Arabidopsis thaliana: one gene and its partner. The protein of the gene in region 1 interacts with the protein of each later gene in a pairwise test. Each region holds a gene or a part of one and is shown on either strand. Other genes may lie near its edges.

The links.
Region 2: the proteins of AT3G07210 (region 1) and AT2G24020 interact in a two-hybrid assay, tested with the Arabidopsis thaliana proteins (one large-scale study listed by BioGRID).

What each region holds. Positions count from the first base shown.
Region 1 is NC_003074.8:2,292,021-2,297,608, reverse strand, and holds AT3G07210 (uncharacterized protein), read left to right. Parts: upstream 1-1,928; 5' UTR 1,929-2,489; coding exon 2,490-2,752; intron 2,753-3,228; coding exon 3,229-4,609; 3' UTR 4,610-4,856; downstream 4,857-5,588. Other genes in the region: AT3G07200 (RING/U-box superfamily protein), read right to left, coding at 5,386-5,588.
Region 2 is NC_003071.7:10,217,192-10,221,445, forward strand, and holds AT2G24020 (Putative BCR, YbaB family COG0718), read right to left. Parts: upstream 2,278-4,254; 5' UTR 2,079-2,277; coding exon 2,018-2,078; intron 1,795-2,017; coding exon 1,652-1,794; intron 1,515-1,651; coding exon 1,414-1,514; intron 1,323-1,413; coding exon 1,283-1,322; intron 1,061-1,282; coding exon 989-1,060; intron 902-988; coding exon 845-901; intron 753-844; coding exon 678-752; 3' UTR 510-677; downstream 1-509. Other genes in the region: scpl23 (serine carboxypeptidase-like 23), read left to right, coding at 27-132, 205-351; AT2G24030 (zinc ion binding / nucleic acid binding protein), read right to left, coding at 2,992-3,693, 3,803-3,937, 4,027-4,254. UniProt on the Arabidopsis thaliana protein: Participates with ALB4 in thylakoid protein targeting. May function with specific subset of thylakoidal proteins. Binds to DNA and alters its conformation. May be involved in regulation of gene expression, nucleoid organization and DNA protection.

The DNA of each region.
Region 1 (5,588 bases):
TTTTCGTTGTTGGTTTGATTGAATAAGTTGCCAAATGATGATTGAAAATTTTGCGCAAGGGTTTTGAGTTTCGGATGATTGGAGTTTACTCTGGTCTGAAGGAACCGTGACAAAATTATTTTCTAATAATTCATTCTGATGGCAGCTCAATCATTGTTAGATATATCAAATTTCAATTCGAGTTTTGGGTGCATGGTTTGATTCGGATGGTTAATTGTAGTTTGTTTTGTTAGTAGAAGCTTGGTTTTGGGGCAGCTTAATGAATTTTAGGATTCAAGTTTTCAAATCATTTAGCCTATAATGTTCTGAAATGTGTTGTGTAATGGCTTTGATTTCCTGAGGATCTGACTATAGAATGTTTAAAATCCTGAGGAACGGTGGGAAATCATGTATTTGTGTTTCTTTTTTTTTTTAAGATTCAGGTTCTACAAATTATGCTTAAAGGGCTTTGAGCTCCTGACCGCTTGTATTATGAGATCCAAGAAAATGTGAAAAGTCGTTTTTTTTTCCTTTCCCATTTTGATGGTTTGGGTTGCATTTTACTGTTCTTTTAGTTATCATGACTATGCTAGATTCTGGTCTGGACATAAGTTGCTTAAGATGTGTGGAAATTATGCGTAATGGATTTAGAATTGGCAATTTGTTATTTGAAGGAATTCACTTCTATAGATATCCTTTAATGGCACCCGTTCATGGTCAGCTCCAAATATGCAAGAAATCGGAAAATGCATTAGTGTAGTCCTCTTTTCTGGTATATTGTCAATACTCAAATCTTACATAAACTTTGTTTCAAGGACAATGAAGCATGTGGTCAAGATTTTGAGCCTGCTGGTAGCTGTCTCTGCCTTTTAGTTTGCTCTCTTGCAGGCTGCAATTATGGCTCGTAGCCAAACATAGTTGGTTAGTAATGAGTCTGTTGTGCTCATTTTTGCTTATTGCTATTCTCAGTTAGTCAATATTAATAATGTATATCTTTGCACCAGCTACCTATATACGTTGTAGTGTCCTTTGCTATTAATTGTTGGAATCGGTTTAGTGCAGTTCCCTACCTCTCCTAAAGAAGCAGTTTTTCTGCAGCGGGTACTTTCAGTACTCTTTTCTTTCTTTGTTAACTCGAATTGTTAATTAAGGTTAAATTAAGTTCTTGACTAGTGCTTTTGCTCCTAGCTGTTGTTAATGTTGATTATGTACTAGTTTGTTTTGGTGCTATTGTTATATTGCAGGATATTGCAGATGCAAAAAGACTTCTTAAGCGCTAACGGAATTGATGTTGGATCGGATTTGACACATTATGGTTTACTTCTTTTCAACTCCCTAACCAGTGTAATAGAATACTTGGAGTCTTCGATGGTTCATAGAAAGAGTTCCCATTTTCATTATGTACAGTCGTTTACTATGTTTTTTTGAGAGATGTACATTGAGAAACCGGTGTTTGCAATTGGATTTTGTTTTGGGGTTTTAAACATGATGAAGAACAATGTTATTCTGATAAGTTCACTTTAATTGACTTTTTTTTTTGGAATATCGTTTGTTACATTTTTTCTCGTGTATACAATAAGTTGTGAATCCAACTCTTTCAAGTTTAAACTACTTGAGATTAACTTAAATGCTCCAATAAAATTGATTGAATTGGATTTTCTAGTTTTGTTTGTTTTGAAGTAAAAAGTTGGACTTGAATGCTGATAAGTGATAATAAATTGACTTGCAACCATAACTGAACCAATCTAACAACATGTAACTATTCCAAGTTTATTATAAGCTAGATTTCTGAAATGGAAATGTCGTTTTAATTTTACATTTTTGCCGAGATGGTTAAAACTGGTAATCATATACATTACAATTTGGTTAAATGACCAAATCTATTTGATAACAAAGAGAGATATAAGTTAATGAAACCATGATTAGACAAATCGACAAGCAAAGAAAACGTTAAGCAAAAAACACTAATCATAATAAGCAAAAAGTCCATCCATGTTCATCACATGTACAAAGATCCTCTCTGTCACTCTAGACTTTTCCTCTGTTTGCTTCTTCTTACAAAATGACACACTTAAACCAAATAAAGAAAACATTTCCCCCAATCTTTATACATTTTCTTTTGAATTAAAGAAAAAAATAAAAGTGATAAAAGAAGAAGAAGAAGTCCCCAGCTAGCTCCTTAAAGAAGCACATCTCTTTACTCATTTCACGATTCCCCTGTCTCTTGTTTCTCTCTCACTTACCTCTTCTCGAGTTTTCTCCCATTCTTGGGTCTTCATCGAGACCAAATCCGGAGAAAGTTGATGTTTTTACAGCACAAACAGACACAGACACATACATGTGTTGTGTCTCCCTAATCCCATTATTACTAACTCGCATCCAATTCACACTTCTCTCCTAAATTCCCATCCTTTTCAGATCCAAAACACTCTCCTCCAAAACCCAGATTGCCAAATTAGGGAATTTGACACAAAACCCATCTGAGAGCATAATCAAGAGATAGAGAGACAATGGGAGTGATATTGGACTCATGGTGCTTTTGTAAAGGAGTTGGCAAAAGCGAGAAGATGAAAGGTTCCATTTTTACCGGCAAAGCTCCGGCGATGGCTCGAATCTCTGTCTCCGGACCAAATGGTGTTACTTCTGGAACTGGATTCCTCATTCACCGGAATCTTCTTCTGACCACTCACCTCAATCTTCCTTCCATCTCCGCCACCGAAACCGCCGAGGTCCGCCTTCAGAACGGTGTCGCTGCTGCTCTCTTCCCTCACAGGTCCCACCTCTCTCTTTACTCTCTCTTGAGTTTGATTCAAAATTTGATTTTTCATTTTCCTGTGTTGTCGGTTGCACGATCCTGGTAAATTTTGATGCAATGCCATCAAAAAAATTGGCTCTTGTTCAAATTTTCAAAAATGAATCCATATCTTTTCGTCAAACCAAAAGAACTTAAAAGAAAAGAGCTTTATACTGTACTTATGTTATATGGTAATGATTCTGGATCTGTAGCTGAATTTGGTAAGTTTTCATTTTAATTTCATAAACTTTAAACCAAAACATTGATATATCATTTTGTGATTATTGGAACATGAAAATTCATTTGTTCAGATATTTCCCAAAATGGAAACGTCTTGATTGCATCAAACATAATAAGAACCAATCTGAATTGTGGATTTGTTTGGTCAATGATGGTGTTTTCTGTTCTTTAGCTATCAGAAAATGAGTGTTATCTTTATATGGTGTCATTTGCAGGTTTTTCATTACGAGTTCAGTTATTGATCTCACTATTGTTGGCTTAGACCTTGTTGATGGAGACTCAAGTTCCCAGAGCCAACTTCAACAACAACCACATTACCTGAAGACATGTTCCAAACCAAACCTGGATCTAGGGAGTGTGGTGTACCTCTTAGGCTATGCCAATCAGAATGAACTCAAGATCGGCGAGGGAAAGTTAGTTGTAGCTACCGACAATCTCATCAAACTCTCAACTGATGAAATGATTTGGAGTCCTGGATCTGCTGGATTTGATGTTCAAGGGAATCTTGCATTCATGATTTGTGATCCGAGGAAACTATCGACATCACCAACCTCAACCTCGTCATCTTCCTCTTCTTCTTTGAAGAAAGATAACAACAAGACACTGATGATGCAGTTTGGTATACCAATACCAGTAATATGTGACTGGCTGAATCAGCATTGGGAAGGTAGTTTGGATGAACATACGACGAAACCTAAGTTGCCTCTCATTCGATTAATGTCTTCTGGTCAGAAGAGTGAGCGTTCTTGTACTTCATTCACCATGCGCCGTGTTTTCAAGCCAAACGACTCTGCTGATGTTGGAACACCATCTTCATCTAACACTAGAGATCAAACTCATCCGAGCTCTTCTATCGCTGCTGAGGAAGAAAAAGAAGAAGAAACCTCAAAAACCAATCCACAAGTCTGCGGAACTACTACTCATGCGCAGGGTATCCCTACCCCTGAGATATATGAATCGCCAAAGTTGACTTCTGGTCCTCTAAGAAATGAGACAGCTCAAGTACACCTTTTGGACATCAACTTTCCTCCACGGATACCTAAAGCTATAACCTTTCATCCTGAGCTCAACTCTCTACAGAGTAACCATATAGTGGAAGAGGCTGAGATTGTCTCTGAAGGATCAGATGCGCAGATTGCTTCGACAGGTTCAGTAAATGGTGCTCTCAGTGAGGTCATCTCAAGTTCACCGCCAGCAGCAGCTCACTATGTATATAACAATCATGGATACAGCAGCGAGGAAGAGACAATGTATTCTGCAGAAACAGCAGAAAGCCGAAACTACCCAACTCCTCCAAGAAAAAGCGAGTTTCATCATGAGAGAGTTGGAAGGAGTCAAAGCTGTGTGAGCTCCAGCAGATGGGGAACTCCTCAGAAGAGTTTGAATGGTAGAAGAGAAATGCTGGAGAAACAGAGAAGCTTCGTCCATGGGAAGAAGATGCATTCACAAGGAGCAATGTCACAGAGGAGTAATGACTATTACAGCCCAACGGTCTCATCTATCATGAAGAAAAGGATTAATAGTTCAGAGCAACAGATTATCAAACCGGTACCTAGACCTAGAGCTGTTAGTTCTTCACCAAGATGGGCGTTCTAAGGTCGATACAGACCGGAGAAAGAGCCACCTTCATAGAAAGAGAGACATCTTTGTTTAGATTTCGATATCTCTCATTCTTGTATAACCAATTTTATTTTAACTCTTGTGCAGACATATTGAAGAAAACAACAAATAGGAAACATAGAATCTTGAATCGATCGGGTTTAAGCCCTTAAAGCAATCATTGATTTTGAGTTCCTGGAAGTAAAAAAGTATTTTCGTTTTTGCTATCAGAACATAGATTGGGCCATGACTGTTGGATGTGTTCTTTGATCTGCACAGCAATGATTTCATGGGAATGATACCAAAAGAATAATCTTTTCATAAGAGGTAACTGTGGACCAACAGAAAAATGTGCAGATGCCATTACTGCCTTCTAGTGAACTTGAGAGAGAACATGCATACAGAGGCTTATGAGTTATGATGTAGAATGCTTTTTCTTAAGATTCAACAATATCTCCTAAAATATCTCAACAATCACTAAGCAATAAGGAACTACTCAAATAATGAAGATCACCAATGAACGATATCCATTAGAAAATCAGGTCTTCCATAATTCCTAGATATTTCTCTTACAAAACAGAACAATATTGACATAACAAACTACAACTAATGAACAACATTTCTTCATCGTTGGAGGTAGAATCGCTAGACCACTATCCCTGCAAGAGAAGAGAAAGAAAAGGATCTGAACGGCGCAATTTTTAGAATTCAGCAGAAAAAAACAAATCTCATTAGCTAGACTTACATGGCTACTAGTGATGTTTCTGTATCATTCATCTGGTGGTTGGAAGGAAGACCCGGATAAGGTCCTTAACAGTGATTTTTTTCCTACATGTCGGGCATTTAGCTTGGAGGGATAACGCATTCTTTATGCACTTTTTGCAGAAAATATGACCACATTTCGTTGAAACCTCCTGAGTAAATGGACACAGACAGATTGGACAGCTAAATTTTGGTTCCTCTACAGGAGGAGCCA
Region 2 (4,254 bases), on another chromosome or scaffold:
CCTTTAACCACATTTTGTTGATGTAGTGGCGATACAGACGCAGTGGTTCCAGTGACTGGGACTCGACTTGCCCTCAGTAAACTCAATCTTCCGGTGAAAACTCCCTGGTACCCTTGGTACTCCGAAAAGCAGGTAATTTTCATCAAATTCGTGGTTCTATTCTTATTATGCAGAGCTAGTGATTTCTCATGGTGGTGGTGTCAGGTGGGAGGATGGACAGAGGTATATGAGGGGCTTACCTTTGCGACGATAAGAGGGGCGGGCCACGAAGTGCCGGTGTTGCAACCCGAGCGTGCTCTCACTCTTTTAAGATCGTTCTTGGCCGGCAAAGAGCTTCCAAGATCTTATTAGTCACACACATAAGATAGAAGGCTCCCTCCAAAACCCGAGTTAACTCGGTGTTTTCTTTTGAAATTTTTATGTTTCAAATCAACTTGATTTCATAAGACACTAAAAGCATTCTTGTATTCGAAGAAGATATATGTTGATACTAGAACAATTGTGTTGATACCTTGGGAATAAAATTGCAGAAAACCAAAAGTTTCAAATCTTTTATATATAATTCCATAAGAGTAGAGTACAAAGCTCTTTGCTTCTGCCTGACTGATATACAAACAAACAAAAAAAGCCGAACCTCTCATACCTGAAAGTTGAAATGAAACAACAAAAACAGCTTCTTACTTCATTCCTTCGCTGAGACCCGGTGGCATTCCTAAGCTCTGCGCAAGGTCACTCATTCTCTCTTTCATAGCCTGTGAAAAAATTCACAAAGTTCAATTAGAAGAAATGGATAGAAACAAATACTTTAGTTGCATTGTGATAAATGGTCTGCAAATTGCTATACCACCACACTCTTGGCGTGTGCGTCCTTGTATGCTTCTGTGACAAGTTGTGATAGTTTCTGCCAAAGGAAAACACACAACATCAACAAGAGAAACTGATGAATTAGCTTTGACTGTTCCATAACAAGGTACGTATGGTTACTCACTTCGGAACCTAGTTCCATTGCTGCCTCGGTAATATCAGTACGGATTGGTTGCTGGTTACCTGATAACGTAACCTGACACAAATTCATAAGGTTTAGGTCATCAGACTTTGTAACAGAAACAATAAAGACTAAACAAAGTTTTGAGATTCTAGAGTGGAGTTCTTGCCAAATCATCCAAAGACTAACAAATCAGAAAACACAGTTCTTACATCATCAAGTAAACGTTAGTTAATACTTCACTGATCTATTATGTGCATTGATCTATCTTAAGGCCAAAACAAGCTCTAAACTGACCTTGACAAGCTCGCCTGCACAATAACCATCAAATTCTGCGCTGCGAAATTGGAACAAAACCAACATGCAAAACTCATTACTCATAGAAGAAAACTTCCTCAAATTTTGTATGATAAATGTGCCGGACTTACGCAGCTAACTCTTTTTGAACACGTACAGCTTCCACTTGAACAACCATTTGAGCTTTCTTCACAGTCTCATACATATTCTGCATATTACCAAATATTCCTGCCTAGGAAAGATCACACACAAACTTCATTAGTTCCAAAATCATAAACTTTGAATCTTTACAACATGAAGCCTAACTTAAAATGTTCACCTATTGCAGAATCTGTTTGATATTTGAAAAAACCAATGTAATGTACCAACCTTTGATTGTCCATCTTCACTGTTATTATCTTTGTTTCCACCTCCAAATAATCCATTCACTCGAAGAGACCTGTAACCATTTTTAGACTTGTACTGCTTTGGCCATGTTCTTCTCTGCGAATTCAAGCTCGCATTTCCTGAAACTATTCAAACCAAAAAATTACTAAAGCCCATTTCAATCCCAAAAACACTTATAAATACAAAATTACGCTTCAATTCCTCCAATTATGGAATAGAAAAGTCTAATTACGAAAGATTAAGCAAATTCAGATGAAACCTAATGTACGACAGATACATAAAGACTCAAAATCCAGTGTCACGAAACCTTAAGCGAGAGATAGAAGTAGGGATTTAGGAGAGACTAACCATGAGAGAATGGAAAGAGCATAGATTTGGTGAAATTGGTGGTTGCAGCCATCGACGCCATTGTTGTACGAGTAGAGAGATATTAGAGAAGGGCTTTTTTTCTGAAATTCGAGAAGATAAAACCGGAAGCTAATTTTTTCCGGGCAACTTGTTCGTAGCTTCTGTGTTTGTTGAAGCTTTTAACCAATGATTTTGCGCCACGTCACTTTAACTCTTTTTTTGAGCTTAGATTGTTTTTGTACCATTCTTTTCTAGTGAAGAAGTCGCAACTTTAAAGTTTATACACTTTCAGTACGAAATTGAGTGATCAAACGTAAAATGTTCTTACATCAGATATTGATTCGATTTTCGAAAAATTCAATTTCTAGTATAGATGAAACTTTATCAGAGATTGTAACATGCTTCATTAAACCAAAAAAAAAAAAAAACATGCTACAATAGAACCATCTTTCGTGGTTCTATGTATGGGACATGGTCATATGTGTTGTGGTCTTGTGGAGCTGTATTGCGAGAAGAACTATTGATTGATTGTGGAGTTGTCTATATACCCTCTATGTATAGAGAGACTCACCCCAAACATTTGAAATACCTCTAGGCAAACCATTTTGGGCCTCTCCTGAAAGAAGACATTTATCATCGTATCATGTCCAAACAAACATACTCTGCTTGTACAGTTGTAAGTTTGTAAAACATATGATAAAAGCATAAGACAACACACACTCCAAAATGCAATCATGATCTATACACTTATTCTGGTCTCTCTAATGGCATTGGTTATTATTCTCATGATTCTCAATCTCACAACAAAAAAAACATCATGCAAATCTCCTACTGTCACATTGCATAAGAAAAAATAAAAATAAATTCATGAATTCAATCTCTGATTCCTCATGGTATATTGTCATGACCTAACAAAGGTTTTTTTGGTAAAAAAAGTTGATATAAAATAATCTAACAAAGTTACAAAGAATCTTCTATGACTTCTCCAAGCAATGAACCTTACCTTGTGTATCATCCATTGCTAGAGATACTGATTCTTTCTGTCCTGGATCAGCATTCAGAGATCTCACTGGGACTGTAATGAGTTTATTCTGCTGTTTCTCAAGCAAAGCCATGTGTTTTTTCCCAAGCGTATGATTCCTCATCGTCTGCTCAGAATTCGTCTGAATATTACAAGTTTTGCACCAAACCGTTTCCTTCTTTTTCTTCTCACCTTTTGTCTTCTTTCCCGTTGTTTCTTTCGCCGCAATTTCATCTACTTTTTGACCCTGCGGATTAGCATTTTCACATACTCTAATGGCTTCTGGTTGCGGTGCTGTAACGGAAGCAGGGGATAAGGAGGTTGAAGCAGCTTCAGGTGTCTCATTCTGTTGTGTAACAGCAGCCTTATGCTTTTTACCTAACTCATGATCCCTCATGACTATTTGACAATAGGTCCCAACTTTACAAATCTCACACCAAAACTTCTGGTTAGTTCTTAGCTTACCTTCTGCTTTCTTTCCACTGCCAAGTTTCCCTGAACAAGGAACCTTCGAAGAGACTATTTCTCCGGTTTCCAAAGACATCGCCTTTGCTTCTGATTCTTTTGCTTTCGGCCTTTTCACTTGAAGATCTTCGTTCAAACCAGTTTGAATATCCTCTGCTTTACGCTTTTCTCCTACAGGATCAGCTCTAGCCTGCAATAGTAATCAAAGAGAACACATATGGTCAGGATTTGTTATAAGCAAGTAAGGAAAGTACGTGGATAGAAAAGATGAGATATCACACTCGTAGTAAAACACTTACCAATACAATAAACTGCTCTTTGTTAGACTCCAAAACTGATGTTCCTGTAGCCTCAGGCATTTGCTGAAGTTTAGGCAATTGCATGGTACCAACACTGTCTGCTTTAGGCTTAGCTCCTATAATATCAGCTCTATTCTGCAATAGAGAAATCAAAGAGAACACATATGAAACAAAGGCTTATATATACTCTATCATTTATGTTTACCATTACTTAAAGAACTCACCAATACAATCAAATTCTCTTTATTAGACTCCAACATTGATGTTCCGGTAGCTTCAGACATTTGCTGAAGTTGAGGCAATTGCATCATTGGTGATGTAAGTAGACTGTTGTAAGAGCCTGTGTTGATCAGAGAATCAATGTAACTATACTTCTGTCTGAAAAAGTTGTTGAACTGATTCTGATTTTGATTTGGAAGCTTCCTTTGATTGATCCACATAGTTAGCTTTTC